2 linked regions of the Caenorhabditis elegans genome follow. The protein of the gene in region 1 purifies or fractionates together with the protein of each later gene. This does not show direct contact. Each region holds a gene or a part of one and is shown in the gene's direction. Other genes may lie near its edges. The genes, in order: mina-1 and wago-4.

Evidence for each region.
Region 2: the proteins of mina-1 (region 1) and wago-4 purify together in Caenorhabditis elegans (affinity purification with mass spectrometry, with the first as the bait; one study listed by BioGRID). This does not show direct contact.

The regions. Positions count from the first base shown.
Region 1 is NC_003279.8:9,515,677-9,521,769, reverse strand, and holds mina-1 (Messenger RNA-binding inhibitor of apoptosis 1), read left to right. Parts: upstream 1-3,033; 5' UTR 3,034-3,072; coding exon 3,073-3,145; intron 3,146-3,196; coding exon 3,197-3,365; intron 3,366-3,412; coding exon 3,413-3,545; intron 3,546-3,585; coding exon 3,586-3,736; intron 3,737-3,779; coding exon 3,780-3,847; intron 3,848-3,892; coding exon 3,893-4,090; intron 4,091-4,138; coding exon 4,139-4,528; 3' UTR 4,529-4,744; downstream 4,745-6,093. Other genes in the region: set-32 (SET domain-containing protein), read right to left, coding at 580-684, 730-849, 930-1,475, 1,524-1,655, 1,769-2,009, 2,056-2,363, 2,411-2,512; tspo-1 (TspO/MBR family protein), read left to right, coding at 4,994-5,072, 5,931-5,995, 6,047-6,093. UniProt on the Caenorhabditis elegans protein: RNA-binding protein which binds to its own mRNA and target mRNAs to negatively regulate gene expression to modulate apoptosis and differentiation in the germline.
Region 2 is NC_003280.10:12,916,522-12,924,761, forward strand, and holds wago-4 (Argonaute protein wago-4), read left to right. Parts: upstream 1-3,029; 5' UTR 3,030-3,055; coding exon 3,056-3,211; intron 3,212-3,263; coding exon 3,264-3,454; intron 3,455-3,499; coding exon 3,500-3,668; intron 3,669-3,712; coding exon 3,713-4,118; intron 4,119-4,164; coding exon 4,165-4,891; intron 4,892-4,936; coding exon 4,937-5,112; intron 5,113-5,158; coding exon 5,159-5,327; intron 5,328-5,376; coding exon 5,377-5,551; intron 5,552-5,594; coding exon 5,595-5,840; intron 5,841-5,880; coding exon 5,881-6,245; intron 6,246-6,293; coding exon 6,294-6,411; 3' UTR 6,412-6,856; downstream 6,857-8,240. Other genes in the region: F58G1.2 (C2H2-type domain-containing protein), read right to left, coding at 864-1,300, 1,888-2,256, 2,423-2,459. UniProt on the Caenorhabditis elegans protein: Argonaute protein which is involved in the endogenous small interfering RNA (endo-siRNA) pathway and is required for RNA-mediated gene silencing (RNAi) in the germline.

The DNA.
Region 1 (6,093 bases):
TTTCGCGTCGAGACCTGGAAACTAATTATTTCGTTATAAAGTTGCGTTTCCGAATAGTAATAAAGTTTATTTGTATCGTTCGGCTTATGCTATCATTCTACGGTCAATGCAAATCTAAATTATTTTCGAAATTTTTAGAATTTAGCTGGCAGGAGCCACTTCCAATATATATATATAGGTCTTCAATGCAGTTATAATCAAAATTATCAAAACAAAAGAAAAAGGAGAATATTGAGATTGGAGGAGGTCACCCTAATTTGGTAGCCATTTGCAAATGGGCGGAGCTTTGATGGGCGGGCCCGAGTCGTCCGATTCGTTGCTCCGCCAAATGAAGTCTCCGGCAGAGTTGATTGAAAGTCGTTTGGCACTTTTTTTCGGAGGTTTATATGGATATGAACTCCAATTTTATTGAAATTAGCAAAAAAAACGTTTCGAATGGGTTCGTATAGTTGGTTGAATAATGTGATTTAATCTAATTCGCGTAATACGTTATTCAAGATTTTATAAAGGTTTATTATTTACGAAAAAAAGAAAATCAGTAAAAAATAAGAAAAAAAAACGGTAAAACTTCAAAAACACTTAATCTAAAACAACTACATCGTCGTTGCATGAAAGAGGTTCGCAGATGTTCTTGTGCCAACTTTCCCACTGTTGATGGTCCAATTTGCGATAATAAGCTGCGAACTGAAACAAATGTTATATTAAAATTGCAAATTTAAAAATACTTACATCTCCGAATGACATATTTGTATGACAGGAGCTTTTTCTGTTCAAACATGCAAAACTTCCGCACTCGCATTTTCCATTGAGATGATTTTTCATGTAGTTGTATCCGTAGTCCATTGTAAGCTGAAATGTAAAAACAAACTTTATGAGCTAGATTGATAGTGGTATAAAATTTCCAAATCAAGACTTATAAAATAGCTTACCGGTGTTCCTGGATAAATGTTTAACAGCGAAATGAAAACGAGATGTACGTGAGCTGGTGAAAGACCTTTCTGGTAGACACGAACGATTTCTAAATTCGGCGAACAGCTATGACAAATCATTCGTCCAACGTTTCCTTTGGCTTTTGGATCAATGAAAAATTCTTCGTAGCTCAACTTCTTCAAAAACTTTTTATAGTCATCAGAGAATTTCATTGTATCCAAAAGACGCCTCCAGTTCGAATTGTCTTTATCTGTGAGCTGATAAGCATAATCTTGACTGTCACGATCTAGTTGATTACGCTCAACTATTTCTCCAGTAAATTCCAATACTGCCGTGCCAGCTGGAATCAGAACAGATGAACGTAATCCAAATCCAACGTTTTCATTGCTTCGATAGATCTCGAGCGGAAACAGTTTTTTGTTAAGAATTAATAAACTGTTATTGGTGCAGTTTCCTTTGCAGCCACACGCTTCAGAGCAGGAGAATCCAATACATCTATCGAATGTACTATTCGAATTGGAGAACATTACTGGATCAAACGACGCCTGAACTTCTTATTAAAAATTTTTTCATATTCTTACGGAAGGACTTACGAATTTGGTAGGAGGGTGACTGGAACTATTTATTTGTAATCCTTGCAGTTTTTGGTTTAATTTATAGCACGGGCAGTTTTCGTTTTCGTAGCATGGTACAATTGGATTCGATGAGCAACAATCACAACGAATCTGAAAAAGAAAATAAGTTGTTACCTTGAAGAAAAACTAAATTTAGCAATACATAAAATAACTGAACAATTGACTAGAAATAATCTTCAGGGAAAGAAAGAAGAATAAAGTACCGTATTCTCTTCCTTTTGAGACATAATACATGCTTTCGCAATGTTTCTTGCGGAGCACGGGTTCAAAACATTCGTGTCTGTATATTCGAAGAGAAGAGTATCGGGAATTTGAATTGAAGTCAATTTTTCATCTGGTAGATCAGAATAGACAGGAACGATATCTAAGGTGTTGAAAGTGAGATTCTCTGTTACTCGAATTCTTTTCCTTGGAGTAATATAAGTCGGCGAAAGCAATGGAACACTGAAAAGAAATGTATTAAAATAATATAATTAAATTAATTCCTCACTCTTGGCCGGAATCCGGACATGTGGAAATTTCATGTTCCCTTCCTTGTGAAATCATTGCTCGTTGTCCCAATATTCGCATCATTGTGCCTTTCACATCCTCATCATATTTGGGGAGCAGTTTCCAGTTTCCATTAAGATGTGGATCGTTTCGGATTTTATTCAGAACTTTAACATGCGACTGGCTGTAATTTTCTACGTCTGGTTTCGTTTCCACAAGACAAGCAGATTCTTTGAGAAACGTTCTTCGTTCTTCGTAGCCGGCGGCAAGATATATCGGGAAATCCTGCTCCGCTTTGAATGGAGGTGCCTTTAAATAAAAGTGTTAAAAAGGAGAAAACGTAAGTTTACGCAAACCTCAAAGATACACATGTTTGATGCGAGCATTTCAGTGATTGGGCCTCTTGAACTGTGTTGACGAAGCTTTTTCTTCGTTCGTGACTTCGATTTCGATGACATCTTATATCAAGAATCTGAAAGACAACATTTAGAAGCATAGCACTCAAACCTGAATGTTTGAATACGAAAATAATTAAAATAGGCGGAGTTGACAAAAATAACTTAGTTCACATGTAAAAACTTATGAACAAAATTAGACTTTTATTTTATAACAGAACCCGAAATCGTTTGAAATTAACGTTCCGGCCGGATGCAAGTTCAGAAAAACAAAAATTCAATCAACAAAAAACACTATTTTCAAAAAAGTTTGAATTTTTGAAGTACGGTAATTTGCGTTGTGAGACCTCGTGAAGATATTCCCTGTTCCTTTAATTGCTTTTAAGATTTTCTTTTCGAATTTTTCTATTTTTCTTCAACTGTGGATTAAAAAAGAGGTTTCGTGTTGCATAATTAATCGTTCACACGAATTTATAAATTTTATTTTTAATTAAAATTAAATAATCCCCTTACTCACTTTAACTTCTAACCGGCGCGTATGATTTTAGGCCTATGATTCCTATCGTCTCTAAAGATACATTTTCAGCACTTTTCTTCTTCTTAAATCGATATTTTAAAAGAAAATGGACGACTCAACGCCGTACCCTGTTCCTCAAGAACTTTATATTCCCCAAAAAATGAAGGCATTCATGGCAGGTTGGGAATAGCTTTGTAAACATTAACAACCATGTATTATATCATTTTCAGAACCTCAAGGATGCGCTCTGGTTGCAGCTCTTGAAGGACAGTTTCAATGCTCCATAGTTGTAATCAACGATCATCTCTCTGTGATCAGCAGTGCTGATGGTGTCGCAGTGGACATAAATCAAATTGAAAAAATCTTACGGGACGTATGGCGAAAGAGAGATGTTCAAATGTTAGTAATTTCTGCTGAACTCAACGATTTAGAATTACCTGTTTCAGTATGATACGAGAGGCTGCCCTCAATGCATCTTGTACACACATTTGTCATACTCTTCTACCACGGGCATACTGTGCTGTTGTTCTCTTCTTCTCTTCTGATTTGCAACGGAGATCCCGCTGCACTGATATTATCGTGAGCTTGTTAAAACTACTGTGCTGATTTTATTTTTCAGATTGACCAGTTCACTGGCAAGGTAACAATGTTCGGAACTGAGCAAGCTGTCAATAAAGCGAGAGAGATGATGATAGAATGTTTGACAGAACATTTCGGTCTTCTGGAAATGAATATTCCGCCTACACAACGAACCACACGAATGGGCTACAGTTCGTTGAAATTTTCACACTTCTAATACTCATTTTGTTCTAGCAAATTCGTACAATCCGGAAATTCGAACACACCTCCCACCAAATAGCTTTCTGAACTCAGTGTTTCCGGTAGAAAATAACGTTTCAGATGACATCTAATATTATTTTCTACAGATGGGCGAGCCGAACGCGATATTGACATCGACACCGCCGACGACGTCTATTATGGATGAACCTCTTCTTTCCGCAAGCCTAGAGAAGCACCTCCTTTTCCCATCGGATTTTTCGGTTCCACCTCCAAGGCTTTCTCCAGTGCAAGAGCTTCCTTTAACCCCACCAAAAACATGCGTTGTCGAAAAAATCAAGCAATGGGTACGATTAATGTCAATTTTAAAGTATTTTTACATTTTATCGTTTCAGATTCCAACCACGGAAGTAGGAAAAATATTAGGAAATCGTGCTGCAGTGAAAAAGCATATCGAGAGACAATTCAATTGCGTTATTACCGTTCACACTGAAGTCCAGTCTTCATTCGGAGCTACACCGGTAGAAATCGTGGCTCAGAACAAAGAACAATGTCAGGAAGCACGCAATGCAGTTATGTCCCTCATGCAATCACACCAGGACAAACCTGCTTCAAATCCTCCCGATTCTGGGTTCAGTACGCCTGGATCTCCATTCACTTCAGATAGTTCTTCAACAACTCCCGAGAAGCGTGGTAATTCGAGACAATATCATCGCGGCAGTTTCCGTGATCAGCCAAAGGTGATGCTTGCATTGACACCACGTAAACTTTCCCCGTCTGATTAATACCTGTGATATTCGTTCCTTGTCCCCTCTATATCATGCACCCTATTTTTCTTCTGATATCATTTTTCATGTGGATGCCAAACTCTGTTTCATTTCATTTATTAGTTCCTTTTGCTTGCTCATGTATTTTGTTTTCTAGATTAATCCTGTGATGCTTTGTGTAAAATGCTGATTGCCTTGTTCGTTGTGTGTTATTAATAAAAACTTCTTCTTCTTAAACTTCAAGGAATGTCGACATTAATGTCTGTATCGAAAATTGTTTTTTAACAACAAGTATTTTTTTCAATCGTAACAATTTCTCTCAGAACAACAATCTTGTTATTTTTCTGTTCGGCGTCCTTCGTAGTGTTTACTTCTCCAGTATCATTCTCATCTCTAGTGAAGCCTGATCGTTTTCATAGTTTTGCCAGACTTCTTAAAATATATTTTCTAAATATCATTCTACTTCTATAATTCATTTGAAAAATGACTTGTCAAGAACATCGCGGTGAATTCGAGAAAAGCTGGTCAAATATCCATTCGGAAACTGGAGAAGTATTTAAAGGTTTTATGCGTCTGTAGATTTTATATTCTATGTTCTTTATTGTCCGTTCTAAACTGCAAAGCATGTACATTCTTCTACTCACTGATCCCTTCTCAATTTTTGTTGTGACCGCCCGCCTGACCGCCAAACATTCGTCCTCACACGCGCTATTCGCAACTGTCAATAGCATTTAGAACTAGCAAAAACTTATATTTTCCAATTGATATAACTTATTGGCGTTAGAATGTCAGTAGTGTTCGCTGTGATCATTCAGACTATCTTCAAGTTTGATGTTTCCGTTTCAGAAACATTTAAAACAATTATTTTTTGGACGAACTGTCATTTTATTTATTTTTCATTAATGACTATATATCCATCCATGTTTTTTTCAAAACTCGTGCACCAACTCTTAAGTTGACGAGAGCACAAGATTTTGGTTCTCCTTGAAAATGAAATCGCGAGCCTCCCTTTTCAAAATCGATCCGCAACAGCATGTTTACTCGTTTGGCTTTCTCTTCAATGTCCTTCTGTCTAACACACTCCTCGCTCTGTACGCTCTCTCGTAAAATTTTGTTGTTCTTTTCCTACTGCCTCTGCCATTTTAAATGACCGATGAGAACAATCGGCCACCAACCACCACCAATGCCTGAATTTCGATGACCTTTTCTTCTTGTTTTCCAGTTTATTTATCAGACGGACTGTCACTGAATCAGTGTGAAGAGAATTATAATCTAAAAAAATGATGCAAAATACAACTGTTCGCCCAGTTTGTGTGGATTCGCAGAGATAACGTGAATAACCTCTCGTTTCCCTGTTTTCGTTTACTTTTGTGTGCACCTCGTTTTAACTCCCGTTTCGCAAACCAATTTTTTCTTACAGAGTTTATTGACAAGGAGCACTGTCGTCTTGCTGCTTACGAAAAAATGCCATTCTGGACCACTCAGGTAATTTCTAGACAAAACTGCGTGTTAATTTTTTGAAGTTGTTTATTTCAGGACACTCGTAATGCGATCATCTCGTCGTTGATTCCAGCTGGAGCCGC
Region 2 (8,240 bases), on another chromosome or scaffold:
ACGTTTATAAATTTATTTATTTTATTTTTTGTTATTTTCCACCGATTTTTAATGTTTTCGGTGTATTTTTGCTTGAATTTTAGAGAAAAAGTCAAAATACATGCAACTTTTCGATTAAAAAAGCACGCTTACAGGCGTAGATCATTGAAATTAATTAATTCAGGTTCGAAATCGTTCAAAATCGTTACTTTGTCATTTTTACGCCTGTAAGCGTGCTTTTCAATCGAAAATTAGCTTTTATTTTGACTTTTTCTCTAAAATTCAAGCAAAATTACACCGAGAACATTAAAAATCGGTGGAAAATAACAAAAAATAAAATAAATTAATTAAAAAACGTGCAAGCGCGCTCCATCGAACAAATCCAATTGGCGGTAATTTAAATAGGAATTAGGCAAAAACTGAGATTTTTTCGATTTTCAAAAAATCATATAAAATTTAGAATAATTTTTTATCATGATATTCGGTCATTGTGGTACCATAGGCATGTTTTACAGCAATTTCCCCACTGACGCTACTCCACCTTTAAAGAATTAGAATTTCAAACAGATTTTTCTCTACAAAATGGCATATTTTTCGAACCTGAAATCGAAAAACTGACGATTCTAATACATTTTTTAAAAAACTGTAGTGACTCCTTTCTGTAAAATCTTCAGTTTTGGGCCAAATTTCATAATTTTACACATTTTCAACTCGTATGATTCCTCTCAACAAAATTATGAATCAAAAAAATTCGGAAAGAGTTTCTATATAGGCCAACAATAGCCAAAAACTGCTGTCCCAGCTAATCGAGCTCCCACGAATTCAGGAGTTTGTGAGGTGTCGTTCCAGTAATTATGAACACTCCAGGACATCGTGTTTATTACCTTCTTAAGATATGGAAATTTCTTTCTAAGCGCATCCATTGGGTACATGAGACCTCCGTAACGATTCAGTCGTGGGATGTGTCCTTGACTGTTCTCACCCGGCAACGGGATCGAGTCCACTTCCAGATTGTTCGATGTCGCCTCAATTTCCGACTCTGGAGGAATGAATCCGCCACTCACAAGCTCTTCGATTCGGTTACGCTCTCTCTCCAGTTCACCCATATAATCAGCCATTTCACGTTGATTTTCCAAAAATGCAATGTAGGCTTTCGGGTGGGAATCTCTGAGATGTCGCTCGAGAAGGCTCATCTCACCGAAACGATTTTTGCAGACTTTGCATCGGAACATGCTTTTACGGACGGCATTTCGAATTTCATCGATGCTCAGTGAGGACGCAGGAACCATGTTGAGATCCGGAGCACAAAAGTCTTGCTGCTCTGAAAATTATAAATTTTCTTTTTTTCCAAATATTGGTTCAAAATTGGACTCAAAATTGCCTAAAAATACCGAATTTCATGATGAAACTTCTTGAAAACTTCTCAAAAAAAAGTTATGACGGCTCAAAAACTGGCCTAAAATTAGTTAAAATTTGAAATTTGACTTGTCAGCGCTGCCAGCTGGAAACTAATATTTTTGAAATCACCGTCAAATTTTGAGTATTTTATGTAATTATCTTTCGTTTTTAACTCTGATTTAGGTATTTTAAAGTCGATGAACGGCGAGATTTTTAAATTTTTTTAAACCAAATCTCGCGGTCCATCGACTTTAAAATACCGAAATCGTGTTGAAAACGCAAGATAATTACATTTTATACCCAAAATTTGACGGTGATTTCAAAAACAAAAATTGTTTCCAGCTGACAGCGCTGACAAGTAAAATTTTAAGTTTTAACTACTTTTAGGCCATTTTTTGAGCCGTCATAACTTGTTTTTGGGAAGTTTTCAAGTTTCATTATATAAATCGGTGTTTTCAGACAATTTCGAGTCTACTCCACCTTTAAATGACAAATTTCTGAAATCCTTACTTTGTCGAACTATACACTTGTCAAGTTCGGCAGATGGATCGATGAAATTCAGTGCAGCTCGGTTTTCGCGAAGCTTTTTGATTGGTCTTCCATCCCCGCCGAGAATGATTCGTTCTTTATGAATTTTCGGCGGATTTCTGAGGCTCGCAAGAAGCTCGCCGACTCCGGTGAGCTTTTTTCGTGGGCAACACACGTCATTTCTTCCAGAATCGTTGGCTTCAGCTACTGTTTCCTTTTTCATGCATTCTTGAAGGAAGTGCTCTTGAATACGACGAATCTGTTGAGCATCCTGAGCGTTGAATGATGCAATAATCTGCTGTTCCTTTTCGTCTTGGCAATCCCTATGTTCCGCATGATCATCTTCCGAGACTGCATCTATCAAGAAATCATTAGAAGAGAATAATACAAGAGAAATAAATATCAAATAGTGATAATAACTAGGTTTCTTGGAACCAAATATAGAAATCAAGTTAACAAAATTTCGTTATTTTTGTTTTTTTATTAGGTTAACAATAGAAAAAAATATAATGATTACGTGAATCTTCACGATCGACAATCTCCGGCGCCTTCATTGTTTCTCGTTGCTTGTCCTGATTGTTCCTGTAATTAATTGCATTATTGAAGGAAATTTTAAGATTTCAAATAACGAAATTGAACACGGGTCTGGAAAAATAGAGGCGAAACGAAGAAATATGAACATTTCGAAATAATGCAACAATCTCATGTGACTCCTGATGAAGAGGGTATTTGAAGTGCAAAATAGAGCGCAAGTGCACTTTTTTAATTTTTCTCTTAAAAATAGCTATTTTTGTTTAATTCTAGAGTTTTAATTATAAAAAGAAAAGCAAAATTCAATAAAGGTTCTCTTCGAAAAAATAAATTGTTCGGGTGGATTTACGGTAAACAAGGCGCATTGCGTTAAGGCGGAGTGTCGTTGTGCTCGGGTCTCGCAGCGAAAGTCACCTACAGTAACCCAGAATTTTAGGATGACCGCGATTTTCAATTTCGTTTTTTCTTTTCGCGTTTTTTCGCGGAAATGTTTGTTTTTGATGCTCGTTTTGTGTTTTTGTGTTGTATTTTTGTTGCTTTTTTCGCATTTTTCTATACGTTAAGTCTTATTTCGTCTTGAATTTTAAATTTACAGGTAATAGTTACAAAATCGAGAAGGATGCCAGCTCTTCCTCCAGTCTACACGCCTTCTGGAGCTCCATCGAGCGTCCACGCACCACCTGCCGTTCCACCAGTTCCAGTTCCGACTCAACCGTTAAGATCGGAGTATCAAACGTCTAACGACGCTTGCATCAAGAGACTGGAAGAGCTTAATGTACGTTTAGTTTAATTGATTTTTTTTTCAAACCTAATTTGTTAAATTTCAGATTGCTCCTGCTGCAAAGCTCTATCCAACACCTACTGAACCAGGAAAGTGTGGCGTCGAGGCCGAAATACAGACCAACGTATTCGGAATCGAGATGCACCAGGATTCGTTGTTCTATCAGTACAGCGTGAACATCACGACGGAGCTGAAAAACGGGAAAGAAGTTACCTTCACTAAGAAGGGGAAGGATGAGTGAGTTTACCACATGATTTATATTTTTCTCATAATATGTTCCAGCTTCGTCGTTACTGAGAGACACGACAAGTGCTGTGCGATTCTGTTCCGCGCGCTGGGTGACTATGAGGAGTTCTTCAAAACGTCTGATAGCTGCCTCATCTACGATGGTCAAAGCATTCTGTTCTCAAACGTGGATCTTTTCCAAGGGTTCAGAGAAGGCGCAGTAAAGGTAAATAAATTAAATCTCGGCCAATGTTATTCCGAATATTTCAGACCAAGTACATGCAGCTTGATGGCGGAGAAATGGATCATAAGGATCTCAAATCGTTGCCGTGTATTAAGCTGGAGGTGTTCCCGACTAAAAACCCAGCGGTCAAGTTCACACGAGAAGCCGTAGCAAGACGAGCAACGGACTCAAACCTCGATTCTGTCAGCTTGGCTTACCAACAGATCCTGGAACTCGCTCTCACTCAACCATGTCTTCGCAACACTGCGAGATACGTTGTTTTCGATCATGGAAAAATGTTTTTCATTGATCCACTCGGTGAAGGATTCGAGAAATGCGACGTTGTGGACGTTGGGGATGGGAAGCAAGTTGTACCAGGACTCAAGAAGACGATCAACTTCATCGAAGGACCCTACGGCAGAGGACGGAGTAATCCATCAGTTGTCATTGACGGTTGGTATTCAAAATAGTAATATCATAGTTATTTCTTGTTTTTCAGGGATGAAGGTCGCTTTCCATAAGAATCAGCCAATTCTCGACAAACTGAAGGAGATAACTACGCAGCCTGTGGAACACGGCCTGAAGGGACTCGAAAAGGACCGCTGCGCAGCCGTCATCAAAGGGCTCGACTGCTATTCTACATATGGCGGTCGTGAACGTCATCACAAGATCGAGGGAATCCATCACGAAGGGGCTCGAAATGCTCGTTTCGAGCTCAACGACGGTGGAAGCTGCACTGTAGCTCAATATTTCGAAGACGTATACAACATCACTCTTCGCTATCCAGACACAAATCTCATCGTTTCCAAGGAGAGAGGAAATATAAACTTCTACCCGATGGAATTGTTGAAGATCAGCTCTCATCAACGCGTTCAGATCCCGCAGCTAACCAGTGCCCAGAGTCAGAAGACAACGAAGGAAAGTGCTGTTTTACCTGACGTTCGCCAGCGTCTGATCTTGACGGGAAAAAATGCGGCGCAAATCTCATCGGACAACGAGGTTCTCGGTAAAATGGGCGTCTCGGTGTGCGAAGATCCGCTCATGGTCAAAGGACGCTCAATTCCTGCGGTGAAGTTGGCAAACGCTGAAATTGGAGCCAATCCAATCAATGTCAAGGACAACAAGTGGCGTGCCAACCGCTTCACTCGACCAGCCACGGCGCCGAATGTGTGGGCGATGTATGTTGTCGGTACCGCATCAACTCGCATAACTTTGGATACTCTGAAGTAAGACTGGCAATATAGTTTCATATCTCATTTTTTTCGTTTCAGGAAATTCGCAGATGAGTTCGCGGCTATGTGCAAGTCAAAAGGTGTCAACATGCCTGCTCCTGCTGACATTTCGCTCATCCATATGGATGCCATCGAGAGTCGTCTGTACGACGCAACGAAAGCCAATTGCACATTCGTTTTCATCATAACGGATGATTCAATCACTACACTCCATCGTATGTTACATTGTTTATTATATTTGTCCATATTTCCGTCTTTCAGAGCGTTACAAAATGATTGAGAAGGATACGAAGATGATCGTTCAAGACATGAAGCTATCCAAGGCGTTGAGTGTTATCAATGCAGGAAAGAGGCTAACTCTCGAGAACGTGATCAACAAGACCAATGTGAAGTTGGGAGGTTCCAACTATGTTTTCGTGGACGCCAAGAAGTACCAGATTTTTTTTTGCGAAATTTATATTCATTTATTATTCCTTCAGGCAGCTCGACTCTCATCTGATCATCGGAGTTGGGATTTCCGCCCCACCTGCTGGAACCAAGTATGCCATGGAGAACAAAGGAGTTCTAAACCCCAATGTCATCGGCTATGCGTACAATGCACAGCACAATCAGGAGTTCAGTGGAGACTTCGTGTTAAACTCTGCCAGCCAAGATGTGAGTTTCCATTTAAGAATATTCTCATCCGATTTGATTTCAGACTCTTGCGCCGATTGAGGATATTGTGATGCACTCGCTCAACGAATACCAGAAGTTTCATGATGGCGGTCTTCCGAGACGCGTCATTGTCTACCGAACAGGAACAAGCGAGGGAAATCATGGATCAATCATGGCCTACGAGATTCCTCTTGCTCGTGCTGCTATGAGAGATTTCTCACCTGATATTCAACTTGTATACATTGTGGTGTCAAAGGATCACAGCTTCAGATTCTTCAAGCCCGATTTGGTTAGTAGTTTTGCATCAAAATAACTTTGTATATTTTCAGGCAAGTCTAGCTTCCCGTCCACAAGCGACTTCCAGCACCGCAAGCAGGCATTCTGCAATGCCAGCCGCCCCAAAAGCATGGGATCTGAATATTGCACCCGGTATTTTGGTCGATTCCATCGTGACAAATCCGGCTTGCAAGCAGTTTTTCCTGAATTCCCACATCACTCTGCAAGGAACTGCGAAGACTCCATTGTACACAGTTCTCGCCGATGACGCCAAAGTCAGCATGACAGCTTTGGAGGATATCACGTACAAGCTGTGCCATCTTCACCAGATCGTTGGACTTCCGACGTCGCTTCCAACTCCATTGTACGTCGCCAACGAGTACGCCAAGAGAGGACGCAATCTGTGGAACGAGGCAGTGTAAGTTTTGCATTAGCGGATTCTTTGGAAAAATGTTTTTGTTTTCAGGGCCTTGAACAACGTTCCAACTGTTTCTGGCCCGGAAGCAGATCGTCTCAAGGAGTTGACCAAGAGCATCTGCTACAAAGCGTCCGGAGATCTCACGGGTCGTCGTGTCAACGCATGATCACTTTCAACAAGGCAAACTTTGTTTCTTTAACCACCTCAACCCTTCCCTGCTGTTCCATTATTTCCTTGTCCCTATTGCAATTGTTTTTGAACAACTAATAACCCTTTCCCACCTGTACCATTTCACATTGTTACTCTTACACCACGTTTATAACCGCATAGTTTTCCCAATGTATTAATATTGCCCATTCTTGTTATATCATACTTATATTGTCCCCTGTTATTCACTTCCCTTGTCAAATATTTCCTTTTTTCAGCAACTTGTCATCGCAATTTCTTTTCTCGTTGAAATTACGCTGACAAGTGTGCTCTGTGGCCTTTTTCTTTTTTTTTTTCATTTGTTTTCTTGTACTAACTTCTCGAAACATCAGAAGATGTTTCGAGAATTTAGTTTTGAATACTAATATAGGCACTGAAAACTTAATAAAAGTTGATAGCCGTCGAAATTGGTTTTTGTTCTATTTTTGAATTTTCCGGGTCGGCTTGGCATCAGGGATGTTCAAGAAATTTTTTTTTGCAAGAAACAAGAAATTTGCATAAAACATTGCAAGAAAAAGCGCAAAAAATGAAAGAAATTTCAAGACATGGAAAACAGTTAAACTTTTTTCAAATGTTAAGATATAGGTTAAAGTAGTCGATTATAAATACGATTTAACCTAATAGGCGACTCCTGGAAGTAAGTTTCAGCCGAAAACTATGAAATTATTGCAATTTCCAAATTTCTACGATTTGTCAAATTTCCATGTCCAATTTTTAACGATTTGAAACATTTTTCCAGCTTTCTAAACGTTTTTTATCCAAAATCCTATATAAAATTTTTATATTTCCATAGAACTTCCTCCATCTTGTACTGATTTTTCTCGAAATAAACCTGAAAATCAAAAAAAAATTTCTTGCACTTTTCTTGCAAAAAAATATTGCAAGAAATGGAAGCAAGAAATGCAAGAAATCAAGAAACAAGAAATTTGCATCCCTGCTTGGCATGCAATTATAATAGTGATACTTAGCTCTAATGATAAGAAGAGGGAGGGATTGTCACGTAAACCCCGTTCTAGGGCAGTGTGGAAAATATAAAAAGTTTATTTCGGAAATTAAATTTTCTACAAACATGTGATTGTGTTTTGAAAAAAAAGAAGTGAGTTTCGCGGCGTTGTAAATACAAGTACAAAATTGAGTGAATATTATATTTTCAGAAAGAAGGGTGGGGTACTGTTGAGAAGCGAGACTCACACAACTACGGAAAAGATCATCAATACAAGGGACACAATAACGGAGCCTATTTCGAGTACAAACAACTATCCAAAACCTGCTTATAATGTCAAGTTAGTCGATGAGATAATTAATTTGCAGAATGATAATTGATGTTCAGGTTCGTGAATTTGTGAAGAGCATTATGCTCGGCGGTCGTGAAGCTCAAAGAGCTCAATATAATATTTTAAATTCTATGAGGGGATCTCGTAGCTCTTTGTAAGTAAATAATACAGTTTGTATATAAGTAAAATGGAAATTTTCTCATCAGATGGTCCAATGCAAACACAGCTTATGTTGGATTCACGAGCAACCCAGGGAAGTATTGCATTCGAAAAAGCCCAAATGCGCCCAATGATCGAGACTTTTGGGTCGATGTGTGTCAATCGCAAATTGGAACAGTTCTGAAAATTGGAAATGGAGTGAACGACTTGGCATTTGTTCCTGGAAAGCGATCACACAAATGAAGTTCAACGATGTGCATTTGATCAACAAAAATCACTCAGAGATTTCATCAGCGAATTCCACGATTTTTTTTGATAGTGTTGACGTTGCTTGTGGGATCAATCGATCTTCAGT